Anolis sagrei: one gene and its partner. The protein of the gene in region 1 binds, or shares a complex with, the protein of each later gene. Links are inferred from orthologs where the notes say so. Each region holds a gene or a part of one and is shown in the gene's direction. Other genes may lie near its edges.

Region 1 (6,847 bases):
ATTGGTTTCACCAAACTAGGGTCCACTAAATGTATGTCTTAAAACAAAGAATCGCTTCAGGAACACTAAACTACACATAAGAAGCCAGCTACAGCAGACTGGGAATTCTTGTTGGGAAGAAACTGGTTTCAAAGAGTTGCCAGCATATGCTTCTTAGAAGCCTGCTACAGGTGAGGAAGATAAAGACATCTCACCTGCTGTGTGCCATACTTATGAACCTGACCCCCAGCAACTGGTACGCAGAGGAATACTGTGAAACTGGCTGTTCTCACCTCCAGCCCTGATGCGAGATAACAGAAGAGAAGGAACCATTATAAACATCCAGGAGCCATTCATTTAGGCCCCATCTACTCTGGCCATTTAATGAAGATAGCTTCAGACTGAGGGCCCTTCCACACAGCCATTTATCCCAGAATATCAAGGCAGAAATTCCCACATTATCTGAGTGTGGACTCAGATAACCCAGGTGAAAGCATATATTGTGTGATTTTCTGCCTTGATGTGGGATATAGGGCTGTGTGGAAGGGCCCCCAGAATATCAAGGCAAAAAATAGCACAATATCTGCTTTGAGCTGGGTTATCTGAGTCCACACTGCCATATAGTCCAGTTCAAAGAAGATAATGTGGGATTTTCTGCCTTTATATTCTGGGAAATAGGGTTGTGTGGAAGGGCCCTGAGGCAGATAGACAACAAACTCCCACAAAAGCACATGAAAGAAAGCCCTTATTGTGCATCAGTGCTCTGTGGTTTAAGTCATCACCATCCGGTTCCTCTGTAATCATCTGCCCAGTGAAACCATCTTCTTCAGTACTGGTTAGAAACTGCATTAAATGGTCAGTGTAGATGGGCCTAAGTTACTTTCTTTCAGCCCTCTGTAGCCATAATAAACATTTCTTCAACTTCCTTTTCAAACTTTTGCCCATAGTACTTTGAAACAGAAAACGACTTCTGTTCTAAATCTTTTTCCTGCAACTCTTTCACCACCCTTTTTGGCACATTTGCCCTAGTACTTCCCCTCCAAGTCCAGCTCTAAAGTCCAGCCCTTATTCCACACACAGACCCCTTATAATTTGAGAAACTCCAGAGCAGGCCATCTCCAACTGCGGCCCTCCAGCTCCCAGCAGCTCTATCCAGCTTATTCAATGATCAGGAATTCTGAGAGTTGGAGGCCCAACCTGCTGGAGGGACACAGTTTGAGGATGCCTGTTCCAGAAGAAAAGCTATTATTGTACTGCAAGGAAAACAAAAGTCCTCGGACACTTGGGGTACCATTTGCACTGCTGATTACTATATTACTATATTGTACTATAACATTATACTGTAATATTATTAGCAATATTATATTGTATTACATTATAATATTATCAAAATTATATTTATATTCTTCTGCCAGCCCAGCAGTTCAAAAACATACAAATATAAGTAGATCAATAGGTACCACTCTGGGGGGAAGGTAATGGCGCTCCATGCAGTCATGCTAGACACATGACTTTGGAGGTGTCTATGGACAAAGCCGGCTCTCTGGCTTAGAAATGAAGATGAGCACCACACCCCAGAGTTGGACATGACTGGACTGAATGTCAGGGGAAAACCTTTACTTTTTATATGTATATACAATATCTATATAAATTAAAATGTAATGTTCGTTTGTGGGATTAACAGAACTCAAAAACCACTGGACGAATTGACACCAAATTTGGACACAAGACACCTAACAACCCAATATATGTCCTTCACTCGAAAAAAATGATTTTGTCATTTGGGAGTTGTAGTTGCTGGGATTTATAGTTCACCTACAATCAAAGAGCATTCTGAACCCCACCAACGATGGAATTGAACCAAACTTGGCACACGGTTCTCCCGTGACCAACCGAAAATACTGGGTTTGGTGGGCAGTGTCCTTTGGTTTTGGAGTTGTAGTTCACCTACCTCCAGAGATCACTGTGGACTCAAACAATGATGGATCTGGACCAAACTCTTCACGAATACTCAATATGCCCAAATGTGAACACTGGTGTTTTGGGAAAATAGAATCTTGACATCTGGGAGTTGTAGTTGCTGGGATTTATAGTTCACCTACAATCACAGAGCATTCTGAACCCCACCAATGATAGAATTGGGCCAAACCTCCCATATAGAACCCTCATGTGGGCCATAGCAACGCATGGCAAGGAACTGCTAGTATTATATTATTAGCACAGTGCAGGAGACAAGATGGAACTGTGTTCCTGGCCCTGGAAACCGGTGAATAAGGAAAAGTAGAAGCAAAATGCCATGGGAAATGGCAGGAGGCTAAGCTGGGACACATGGCATTTCCTGTGTAAACATCCAGAGCTATAAGACCCCTGCATAGAACAGTGCTTCTCAACCTTCCTAATGCCGCAACCCCTTAATATATGTTCTCATGTTGTGGTGACCCCCAACCACAATGTTATTTTCGTTGCTGCTTTATAACTGTAATTTTGCTACTGTTATGAACTGTAATGTAAATATCCAATATGCAGGATGTATTTTCATCACTGGACCAAATTTGGCACAAATACCCAAAACACCTAAATTTGAATACTACTGGGATTGGGAAAAGGAATTGCTTATGTCATTTGGGAGTTGTAGTTGATTTCATTTATAGTTCACCTACAATCAAAGAGCATTCTGAACTTCACCAATGATACTATTGAACCAAACTTGAACCAGAAAATACTCGAAGGATTTGATGGGCATTGACCTTGAGTTTTGGAGTGGTAGTTCATCTACATCCAGAGAGCACTGGGGACTCAAACAATGATGGATCTGGACCAAACTTGGCACGGTTACTCAATATGCCCAAATGTAAATACTGATGGAGTTTGGGGAAAATAGACCTTGACATTTGGGAGTTGTAGTTGCTGGGTTTTATAGTTCACCTACAACCAAAGAGCATCCTGAACCCCACAAACGACAGAATTGGGCCAAACCTCCCACATAGAACCCGCAACGCGTGGCAGGGGACGGCTAGTTTTATATTATTAGCCCAGTGCAGGAGACAAGATGGGACTGTCTTCCTGGCCCCGGAAACCGGTGAATAAGGAAAAGTAGAACCAAAATGCCATGGGAAATGGCAGGAGGCTAAGCTGGAAGGGAGACATGACAGTATAAGACCCCTGCATAGAATCTTACAGTGGGAAGGGGCCAACCCCCTTCTAATAGGCAGGAAGACACAACCCGGGCACTCCCCGCAGAGGGCCAACCGCCTGTGGTTCTGCGCCCAGAGCCCACCCTCTTCCGCCTTCTTCCAGGGACCCTCCCCCGAAGGAGCGTTACCTTCGGCCCAGCGCTGCCCCGGGCCCAGAACGGCCATGATCCATCGGGGGAACTGGGCGGGGCCAAACCTGCGGCCACGTGACTCCCACGCGCAAGGCGCCCTGGGCCTTGGAGTCCCCCGAGCAATCGGGACCCTCCGCGCCGGAGACCAAGAATGGGCGGGAAAAACCGACCGCGAAGCAGTCCTATTGCCTAGAATCACTGCGTTGGAAAAGACCCCAATTCAGTCCGTGCAGGGAGGCGCACTCCAATGTCAATCGAACGCCGGAAGTAGAAAGGAGGGGGGGAACCGGAAATACGCCATTTTTGAAAAGCTTTGTGGGCCTCGCTCTCCTATGGCGCCTTTGCTACAGCGGGGCCGGAAGTGGCGCGCGCCGGCGCTGTGAGGCAGCGGTTGGTCGCGCAGGCGCACTTCAAAGGGGAGGGGGGTTGCTGTGCAAAGTGGGGCTCGTGTCTGGATTTCGGTTGTCTCGCGCGGCCAAGGGCGGGGGGAGGAGGAGGAGGAGGGGAAAGAGCTGAGGCGCAGAAGAAGAAGAACGGCGGCGGTGCTGAGGGAGGCGTCGTTGCGCGGCTGCTGAGGCTGCTGCGGGCGGAGCGGGCGGCGCTCCTCCTTTTCCTCCCCGTGCGGCGCGGCTCTTAGGCCCGAGAGGACGGACTCCCCGCTCGCCCTCTCCCCCCCTCTCCGCCCTGGGCGGCGGCGGCGGGGGCGGCGGCGGGGGGGAGGGGCGGGGCGGCTGCGGAGGGAACAGGTGAGAGCCTTTGGCCCGCGGAACCCCCAGCGGAAGAGGGCGGGAAGGGAGGAAGGAGGGAGGGAACCAGTGCTTGTGGGCCTGAAGGACCAGGCATCCTACACTAGGATTCATCCATTAGCCCTCCAACTCCCAGAAGCCCTTGCCAGCTTGCCCAATGAGGAGGAGTTCTCGGAGTTGGAGGCCCAAACACCTGCCGGGCCTAATTGGAGCAGGCCTGGTCTACACAATCCAAGAGAAGAAATATATCAGTGATTCTCAACCTGTGGGTCCCCAGGTGTTTTGGCCTACAACTCCCAGAAATCCCAGCCACTTAACCAGCTGTTAGGATTTCTGGGAGTTGAAGGCCAAAACATCTGGGGACCCAAAGGTTGAGAACCACTGAAATACATGAATCTCCCAGAGCCCAGGAGCGTAGGTCATTCCCCCACCTCCTTGCGAGGAACCGCTTCTAAAGTGGGGTACATATCCAAGGAAGGCCGCATTTCTTCGATTCTAAGACGCACACATTGGTCCCTTCCACACAACTGTATAAAATCCCACATCTGTATTGAACTGGAATATATATATGGCTGCGTGGACTCAGATAGCCCAGTTTCTGCCTTGATATTCTGCATTATATGGCTGTGTGGAAGGGCCCCCAGTTCAAAAGCAGATATTGTGGGATTTTCTGCCTTGATATTCTGGTTTATATGATTGTGTGGAAGGGTCCTCAGATAACCCAGTTCAAAGCAGATATTCTGGGTTTTATGGTTGTGTGGAAGGGCCCTCAGATAACCCAGTTCAAAGCAGATATTCTGGGTTATATGGTTGTGTGGAAGGGGCCTCAGACAACCCAGTTCAAAGCAGATGTTCTGGGTTATATGATTGTGTGGAAGGGCCCTCAGATAACCCAGTTCAAAGCAGATATTCTGGGTTTTATGGTTGTGTGGAAGGGCCCTCAGATAACCCAGTTCAAAGCAGATATTCTGGGTTATATGGTTGTGTGGAAGGGGCCTCAGACAACCCAGTTCAAAGCAGATGTTCTGGGTTATATGATTGTGTGGAAGGGCCCTCAGATAACCCAGTTCAAAGCAGATATTCTGGGTTATATGGTTGTGTAGAAGAGGCCTCAGATAACCCAGTTCAAAGCAGATATTCTGGGTTGTGTGGAAGGGGCCTCAGATAACCCAGTTCAAAGCAGATATTCTAGGTTTTATGGTTGTGTGGAAGGGGCCTCAGACAACCCAATTCAAAGCAGATGTTCTGGATTATATGATTGTGTGGAAGGGCCCTCAGATAACCCAGTTCAAAGCAGATATTCTGGGTTGTGTGGAAGGGCCCTCAGATAACCCAGTTCAAAGCAGATATTGTGGATCATTTTAGTACCACAAACAGGAAAAAAAACCCACATGCGATTCTAAGGGCCCTTCCACACAGCCCTATATCCCAGGAAATCAAGGCAGAAAATCCCACAATATATGCTTTGAACTGGGTTATCTGAGCCCACACTCAGATAATATGGGTTTTTTTGCCTTGATATTCTGGGATATAGGGCTGTCTGGAAGGGTCCTAAGCCTGGATCTACACTTTCATATAATTCAGATTCTCTAAGCAAATATTTATTTATTTACTGTATTTGTATACCACTTTTCTCAGCCTATAGGCAACTCAAGGCAGTTAACAGGGTAAAATTTAATTCTTACAATATCATAAATACAATTAAGAACATAACATATAATAAAAATTAAACATATCAATAAAATATAAATTTATATTCCAGGGTCCTTCCAGACAGGTCCTATGTCTCAGGATCTGATCTCAGGTTTTCTGTTAATCCTAGATAATCTGGCAATGCAGACTCATATAATTCAGTTCAAAGCAGATAATCTGGATTTTATATGGCAGTGTAGATGGGACCTAAAACACCCTGTTTTTTTGAGATGGGGTGGGGGAGTGCACCTTAGAATCGAAGAAATGGGATCTATACATGCTGAGGATCGCTTGTCCAAAATACTTGAGACCAGGGGTGTTTGGGATTTACAGACCCACCCCCATTTGGAATACCTGAACAGTAGACTCTCAGTTAACAGGAACTCCTAAGCAACTGGGCAAAAATTTGAAAACAAAGACTATAATACTCTAAATAAAAATGTAAATATATTTTAATAATTTAGTAATATCAATTTTTATAATGTGTTAAGTGTTACATTAAGTAGAAACTCGGTTAACTGAAATTCAAGCAACAGGAACTCCCAAGCAATCGTTAAAAAATGAAACAATACCGTAATACTCTGAATAAAAATTAAAATATAGAAAAATCAGTATTTATAATGTATTAAATGTTACATTAACTTTGTCCTCATTTGCTTTTAGCTGCTGTATTACATTATCAATATCAAGTCAATACAGAGTTTGTATAGTATTAGGTGGTCCTGTTTTTAATAGTAACTCTGAAGCAATCAGAAACCACATTTATCTGGCATCTACCAATCCCCACAAGTGCCGATTAACTGACAGTCTACAGTAATTTCCTCATATTTACCCTAGGAACATATCTATCAAATAAGTTCTGTACATATCGGTCAAATAAATGCAAGTTAAATATTCCTTATCCCAAATCCTTGGGAATGGGAATGTTTTGGATTTTTAACCCCCCCCCCCCCCCGTATTTTGAAATAGCTGTATTTGAATAGATGTATCTATCTTTTAGATGGGAACCAAATCTAAAGAAGAAATTTATAATTCATGTTTTTCTTATGCGCATAGCCTGAAGTTAATTTTATACACAATATTCTTAATAATTTTGCTCATGAAA
Region 2 (7,465 bases), on another chromosome or scaffold:
CCTCAGGTGTTTTGGCCTACAACTCCCAGATATCCTAGCCAGTTTAGCAACTGTTAGGATTTCTGGGAGTTGAATACCAAAACATCTGGGGATCCACAGGTTGAGAACCACTGATTTAAATTCTGCAAGATATAAAATTTAAACAATAAAACAATTATAAGTAGATTTTAAAAAGATATCCTACAACATGCATGTGGACTTAAGCACATTATTTTGGTGGTAAGGGCCCTAGTCAATCATCAAATGCCTGACTAAACAAAAAATTAACTTGTCTGTCAACACAAAGGAGGGAAGGTGACAATCTGATGTCTCTTGGAAAGGAATTGCAGAATCTGGGGGCAGCCACTGTGAAGGGCCTATTGGGTTTTCCCAACAGATGTATCTGAGTGTGATAACATAAAGAAAAGGTCCTCTTTATGCTGAACCCCTTTAGAAGTTGAGTTACTGTCAATGCATTCCTGCTTTTATTTGCCATCTCTACTCCAGTTGGAGTAGAGAACCAGATGACAAGTCTGCTGAGTCAGGGCTAGTAGTGGGCCTGACTCTGCTAAGAAGTAGCCAATTTCCCCCTACAATTCCATAGATAGAGCACAACCAGGAGCAGCAGCAGCTGGATGAAGGTTGCTTGACTCTCCTGTCTTGTTGGCCCTCCAGGGGTATCACAGCTTCAAGGCAACATGCAGAATCTTTACCAGAAATTAATAACTATTCTTAATGCCATTTTACCTCTATGTAGAAGTGTAACAAAGTCGTAACAATACATAGTGGGGTTTGATTCTTACTAACTGAAACATAAAACAAGTGAAAGCAAAATCCTTTCTCAGAAATGTTACATAGCAGGCTGGTTAGCTCAAGGGTACTTGATTACTGAATTGCTAAAATACAAATGGAATAAATATCTTTGAAGCAGATTGTAGTACTGTGTGGAAAAAAATGAAGCCTTTTCTCTTCAACATAAAATTGTTTTAGAAAAAATTCCTGCTTCTACATCTTCATTTTTAAATATTCTGAAATTGGGAGTTCCCCAGAACAAACTTTGTTTTTCCATTACCTTTTTTAGGGGTGGAACAAAGAAAGATAATAATAATGATAGTAACTATAGTCTAATGTCCCGCCTTCAATCACCGAAGGGACTTGGGGCAGCTTACATGGCGACCAAGCCCAATATAAACAAGATTTCAAAGTAATACAATTAAAATATATAACAATCAACTGTATTAAAACAATAAAACCAATAAACTCCTATACATCTAGAGGAAATGATTTTCCTATACGTCTAGGGGAAATGACGGTTTGTGGTATTTCCTCTGAGTAATAATTTATAGAGACCTGGAAATCTGAAAGCAGTCCTCTGCTAACTCTTCATACAGTAACATGTCCTAATTTTTCATCAGATAAACAAATTGATCTGAGTACTGTGGACCTGAAGAAGCTTCGAGTTAAAGAACTGAAGAAGATCTTGGATGATTGGGGTGAAACATGCAAAGGCTGTGCAGAAAAATCAGACTACATTCGGAAAATCAATGAACTGATGCCTAAATATGCACCTAAAGCAGCCAGTTCCCGGACAGATCTCTGACCATCAAAGTGACCTCTAGCACATTATTAGCAAGTCACACACAAACTATGTTAAACTTTCTTTTTTTTTCCTGGACAGCTGTTTTTGTAACTTATTTAACTGGGTTTCAACTGTCAAATCGGAGCGAGCATTTTTTTCAGTGTTGGTTCAACTGCCTTGTTATGTCTCAAGTTATTATTTCTCTTGTCTGATTTATGTTAAAAATGGACTTATGGGATTTTTAAAATAAACTTTATGAAATCCAGTGTCATCTGATTTAAGAGAAGTGAGTAGAGGTTCAGTGGCAAATGAGGTCCATCTGCAGATTTAGTTTGACATTTAGTTTGACATTTAATGCAAGCAGGTTGGATAACTTTCCAGCATTTTTAATTGCTGTATTAGTGATGGTCTGTGAAACAACTCAATACTGGTGCTTGCCTGTTCATGTGTACTGCAAAACTGACATGAAATTTGTGTAAGTTATAATCTCTGAATATTTGGGGGTGGGGGAAGAGCAGGGCAGCATTCTGTACTATTATACGTTGAACACCAAGGATGCATAAGAGACCAACCATGTTCTATTCAATATGATTATAATACTTTGCACTAAATATCAGGATTAGGGCGAAGTATTTGGGACGGTTTGGTAGTGATGTTTATGTGTGTGTCCATGACAACATTCCTAGTTTTACCTTAACACATTAGTAGGCAAACATAGCACTTGTAAGGGTATTGGTTTATCATATGTACAAAAAGTTTGAAATTTACACAATGCTGCTCCACAGGCAGGTGGCCTGGGCCATGTGTTTTGAAGATAAATGTTCCTACATTTGACCTGGATAGTAGCATAATCTTAGATAATGCTAACTGGCACTATCCAAAGTAAAAAAATAAAGATAGCAGCCAAGCTAGTTGGCACCATTTCTGTTTATTTGTTCTTACTCACTTTAGTTCTAGATTTACCATTGCCAGTGAAGATGAAGCTCCTCCACAGAAGAATGGGGAGCTTTCCTCCAAGCATGTTCTCAGATAAGAATTAACACTAAGCACTCCTTATATCAAGAATGCATCATAGTCATATCCACTGCAGCTTCCACACCCTTGAGTGTGTGAGTACTGGGCACTCAAAAAGTCTGTCATAATTACCTGTTCTTTGGAAACCTACATTGTCAAAGGCTTTCATGGCTGGAATCATATCTGCACAGGCTGGCATCTTCAGAACTTTTGAAGATGCCAGCCACAGATGCAGGTGAAATGTTAGGAGAGAATGCTGCTGAAAAATAGCTGTACAGCTTGAAAAACTCACAGCAACCCAAACCTATGTTACTTCATCTTGACAGTGACATTACTTGCTATTATCAGTCTTGAGTACAAGACCCAGTTGTGCTTTGATATATGAGCCTGTATCATTATTTAATAGTTGGTGTGGAACATGCTTCATTTGCATGTGCCCACACCTGTTCCAGTATATGGAAAGTAAGGGAATCTTGCATGTGTGTAAATCCAGAAGCTTAGGGTTAATTGTAAGCCAGGTTGTCCTTTGCAAAGTCAAAGCTGTTCTGAGCACATTTTTGAATAAATGAAGCAGTAATTCTATGTGCATTTCCAGTGTGGCTTAGAGAAGCAGAAGATTGCTGTTGAGTATGGACTGCTTTAACAAATGCTTTATGACTCTTCTAACAACATAACAGAAATGTCAAAATTATGAATCATCAAGGAGGTTCTGTGAAAGTTAGCAAAAGAGAGACTAGGATTATTAAGCTACTGCACAAATAGAAACGTGTCCCTATTTTTAAACATGGATCTGATTGGGGAATATCCCTGTATATGGGACTAAAACATGTTCCACCTCCTTTCTGTCCAGTGGGCATTACCTCGGCTGACACTGTGACACTCCCAAGCTCCCTATTTCTTCTTGCATTTATTATGGCCTAAGCTATCCTCAGTATTACACACATTATTTGGAGAAAAATTGGGAACGCTCCTGTGGCATTGGTGATGGAATAGGTCATTTTGGCCAGTGCTACCTGCTTATATGAGGAGCAACACTGGCTGAAATTCTACCTCCTGCACAATGCAACAAAGGTATCAAAGCCCTCCAGATCTGTAGTCATTTGGTCTTTTTAAAAATCTTTAGGGCTAAAAACCTAATGATGTGTGCCTCTACACTGGCTGAGTAATACAGGCAGTCCCCAAGTTACAAACCGTAGGTTCTTCAGGCTTGTTCTTAAGTCGAATTTGTATGTCAGTAGGAACAGCCACGTTCTTTTGTGTCAGTCCGGGGTAGAGGGAGGGTGTGTGTGTGTATATACACACACATACACACACACAAACTTTGGATAGCATATGGAAGGGTTAAGACCTGTGGTGTTTGTTTTGTTAAGATTTTCCCTCACTTTCTGTCCCGGGAATAATAGGATTGTGTCAATTTTGGCTTGTGGAAACAAGGATTGGAGGGGGAGAGTCAGTTGAGACACTTTCCCCCATGATCTCTCTTCAGGGGTGAACTTCCCTCACTTCCTGTCGTCTCATCCCGTTCGTAACTGAGTCGTTGGTAGTTCGGATGTTTGGGACTGCCTGTAATGCGGCCTAAACGCGGCGTTTCCTCCGACCTGCACCTCGGCAGGCTGGAAACGTGGGCCGGCGGCAGGCGCGCTGTCCCTTCTCTCCTTGCCCTCCTCGTTTTGGCCCAGGCACCCGTCAAGGGACGCAAACCATTGCCGTTCTTTCTGGAGGCAACTGCGGCGCCTCTGAGGGCATCCTCGCCGAAGCCTCAGCCAATCGCAAACGTAAGGAGCGGGAGGACGCGCTGAAGTCTCGCGAGGCCGGAGAGGGGCGCGCGGGGCTGGGGTGTGGGCCTCGCCTCCCTTCCCTTCCGAATTGACCCCTTCCGCCCTCCGTCTGCCACTTCCTGTCCGCGAGCTTTGAGGCGGGAAAAGAAGCGCCTCCGCCCACCTGGGACTGGCCTGAAAGTCCAGGGGCGCGCAGGCAGAGGGTTTTTGTCCTCCTCCCGCACCCGTCTGCTGAGGGGAGGGGGGAGGCGTGGAGGGACTTGGCGTGGCCGAAGCCCTTGCGTCCCACCGCCGCCTTCCCCTCGCCCCCTCGCTCGCTCCCTCCCTCTCTCGTCATCGGCGGCGCGGGGTGATGACGCGAGAGGCGCGTACGGCGCGGCAACTGGGCAGAGCCGCCTTCGTTCGCTCCCTTTTGTCCAAGATGGCAGCTGGTGCCGGAGGCGCCTCTTGAGCCGCGGGCCCGGAGCCATGAAGCGGGCGAGCGAGCGGGATTCCAGCCCGGCCGGGTCCGGCTCCACGCGGGGGGCCTCCTCTTCCTCCTCCTCCTCGGCCAAGAGGCCTCGCGAGCGGGAGAGCGGCAGCGCGGGGGGCGGCGGCGGCGGAGGGAGCAGCAGTAGCCGGCGCGGCCCGCATCGCAGCTCGGCCGCCTCCTCCTCGTCCTCCTCGTCGCGAAGCAGCCGGGACAAGCCCTCGGCGGGCGGCTCCGGCTCCAGCTCGCGCAGCCACCGCGGGGAGGAGCGGCCCGGGCCCGGCGGAGAGGCCAACCACCGCGCCGCCGCCGCCGCCTCCTCCTTGTCCTCGTCCTCCGCCGCCAGGAGCAGCAGCAGCCAAGCCGCCAACCCCTCCCCTTCCTCCTCGGCCTCCCTGCCCTCGCTGGCCTCCTCCTCGCGGCTGCTGCCCAAGGCCAAAGCGCTGCCCGCGGCCCCGGTGGTGGCGCCCTCCCTGCTGCTGGGTGTCCCGGCTCCGCCCCCGGTTGCGGCGCCCTCGCTGCTCCTGGCCCCGGGCCTGGGCCTCTCGGCGGCGGGCCTGGCGGGCCTGGCGGTGGAGCCCCCGGGGGCCAGCAGCGAGTACAAGACCCTGCTGGTCAGCGGCCTGAGCCCCGCCCTGCCCGACCAGCTCCTGGAGGAGGGCCTCTTCCGCCAGTTCCAGCGCTTTGCCAGCGGCGGGGCCAGCGACATCAGCGTCAAGCTCTCCCACACCCCAGAACTGGGGCGCGTGGCCTACGTCAACTTCCGGCACCCGTCCGATGCCAGGGATGCCCGGCGGCACGCACGCGCCCGCCAGCTCCTGCTTTTTGACCGGCCCCTCAAGGTGGAGCCTGTATACCTGCGGGGCGGCGGGAGGAGGAGCCGCACCCCACCGCCCACCCCCTCTCCAGAGCCCCTGGCCTTCCTGCCCCCGCTCCACGGGGGGGTCTTCCCCTACAAGCAGCGCTCGCTCTCTCCTGTGGCCGGGCCCCTCCTCCGGGAGCCCCGCCCCCCGCGCCATGCACAGGCCGCTGCTGCTGCCGCTTTTGCCCTAGAGGCCGTGGCCCTAGGCCTGTCACGGGAGCGAGAGCGGGTGCTGGACTACTACGGCCTGTACGACGAGCGGGGCCGGCCCTATGGATACCCCGCAGCAGCTGTGGCTGCAGCCGAGGAGGAGCTGATGCCAGAAGATGACCAGAGGGCCACTCGGAACCTCTTCATCGGTAACCTGGACCACAGTGTTTCCGAGGCGGAGCTGAGGCGGGCCTTCGAGAAGTATGGCATCATCGAGGAAGTGGTCATCAAGCGCCCAGCCCGGGGCCAAGGGGGCGCCTATGCTTTCCTCAAGTTCCAGAACCTGGACATGGCACACCGGGCCAAGGTGGCCATGTCTGGCCGAGTGGTCGGCAGGAACCCCATCAAGATCGGCTACGGCAAAGCCAACCCCACCACCAGGCTCTGGGTGGGCGGCCTCGGTCCGAGTACTTCCCTGGCTGCCTTGGCAAGGGAGTTTGACCGCTTTGGGAGCATTAGGACGATTGACTACGTGAAGGGGGACAGTTTTGCTTACATTCAGTACGAAAGTTTGGACGCTGCCCAGGCGGCCTGTGCGCAGATGAGGGGCTTCCCGTTGGGCGGGCCTGACCGGAGACTGCGAGTGGACTTTGCCAAAGCCGAGGAGGCGCGCTACCCTCAGCCGTACCCGCCCGCCCCGCTGCCAGTGCACTATGAGTTGCTCCCTGAGGCCTATAGCAGACACAGAAGCCTAGAGCAAGACTTAAGGGTGAGGGACAGGACTCCTCCTCATCTTCTCTACTCTGACAGAGAAAGGAGCTTTCTGGAGGCAGATTGGGCTAGTCCTGTCAAAAATGCAGAGCGTAGAAATAATTTGGAGGCCTACAGCCGGTCAGCACGGAGCCGGAGCGGAGAACGTTGGGGCAATGATGGCGACCGCAGCATGCTTAAGCCTTGGGAGGAAAGGCGCAAACGGCGCAGCCTTTCCAGCGAACGTGGGAGAGCCACTCACTCGCCTTATGAGGACCGAAGCAGGACAAAGCCTGGAGGGACAGCTGTTGACCGCAGTCCAGATCGGGTGCGGAAGGAGAACCACGCAACTGAGGCCACAACAGAGAAAGAGCAGAATAACTCCCTCCAGAACAACCGACACACAGCAGAGGAGAAGCCTCATCGCGAAATGTCTGATCCTCAGCCTAAGAAAAGGGACAATGAACGCAATCATCGAACTGGTGAGTCTGAATCAAAGACTCACGAAGAGTCCAAATTGGAAACCAAGAAACTAAAAAGCTTGTCAGATTATGCCCACACTCTGCAGCTTGCCTGGCATGGGCTACTTGTCCTGAAGAATAGCTGTTTCCCTACATCTATGCACATCCTTGAAGGGGACTTGGGGGTCATTAATGGGCTCCTGAAAGACCACTTGTCTGGGGGAAAGCTGACCCAGCTCAAGATTGCTCAGAGACTTCGGCTTGATCAGCCCAAACTCGATGAAGTAACTCGACGCATCAAGCAAGGAAGCCCCAATGGCTACGCTGTGCTGCTGGCCACCCAAGCTACTCCAGGAGCAAGTGCTGAAGGGACCTTCCCTGCCGTGGAGCCCAGCTTGCAAAGGCGGCTTCTCAGGAATCTGG

What was found.
Region 2: ZC3H13 (region 1) and RBM15B share a complex: the UniProt entries of both Homo sapiens proteins name them as parts of the WMM complex. The link is inferred for Anolis sagrei from reciprocal best matches to the Homo sapiens genes ZC3H13 and RBM15B.

What each region holds. Positions count from the first base shown.
Region 1 is NC_090021.1:140,394,990-140,401,836, forward strand, and holds the start of ZC3H13 (zinc finger CCCH domain-containing protein 13), read left to right. Parts: upstream 1-3,830; 5' UTR 3,831-4,050; intron 4,051-6,847. Other genes in the region: DNAJC18 (dnaJ homolog subfamily C member 18), read right to left, coding at 3,302-3,338. UniProt on the Homo sapiens protein: Associated component of the WMM complex, a complex that mediates N6-methyladenosine (m6A) methylation of RNAs, a modification that plays a role in the efficiency of mRNA splicing and RNA processing.
Region 2 is NC_090022.1:71,045,130-71,052,594, reverse strand, and holds the start of RBM15B (putative RNA-binding protein 15B), read left to right. Parts: upstream 1-4,448; 5' UTR 4,449-4,818; coding exon 4,819-7,465. Other genes in the region: MANF (mesencephalic astrocyte-derived neurotrophic factor), read left to right, coding at 1,395-1,579. UniProt on the Homo sapiens protein: RNA-binding protein that acts as a key regulator of N6-methyladenosine (m6A) methylation of RNAs, thereby regulating different processes, such as alternative splicing of mRNAs and X chromosome inactivation mediated by Xist RNA.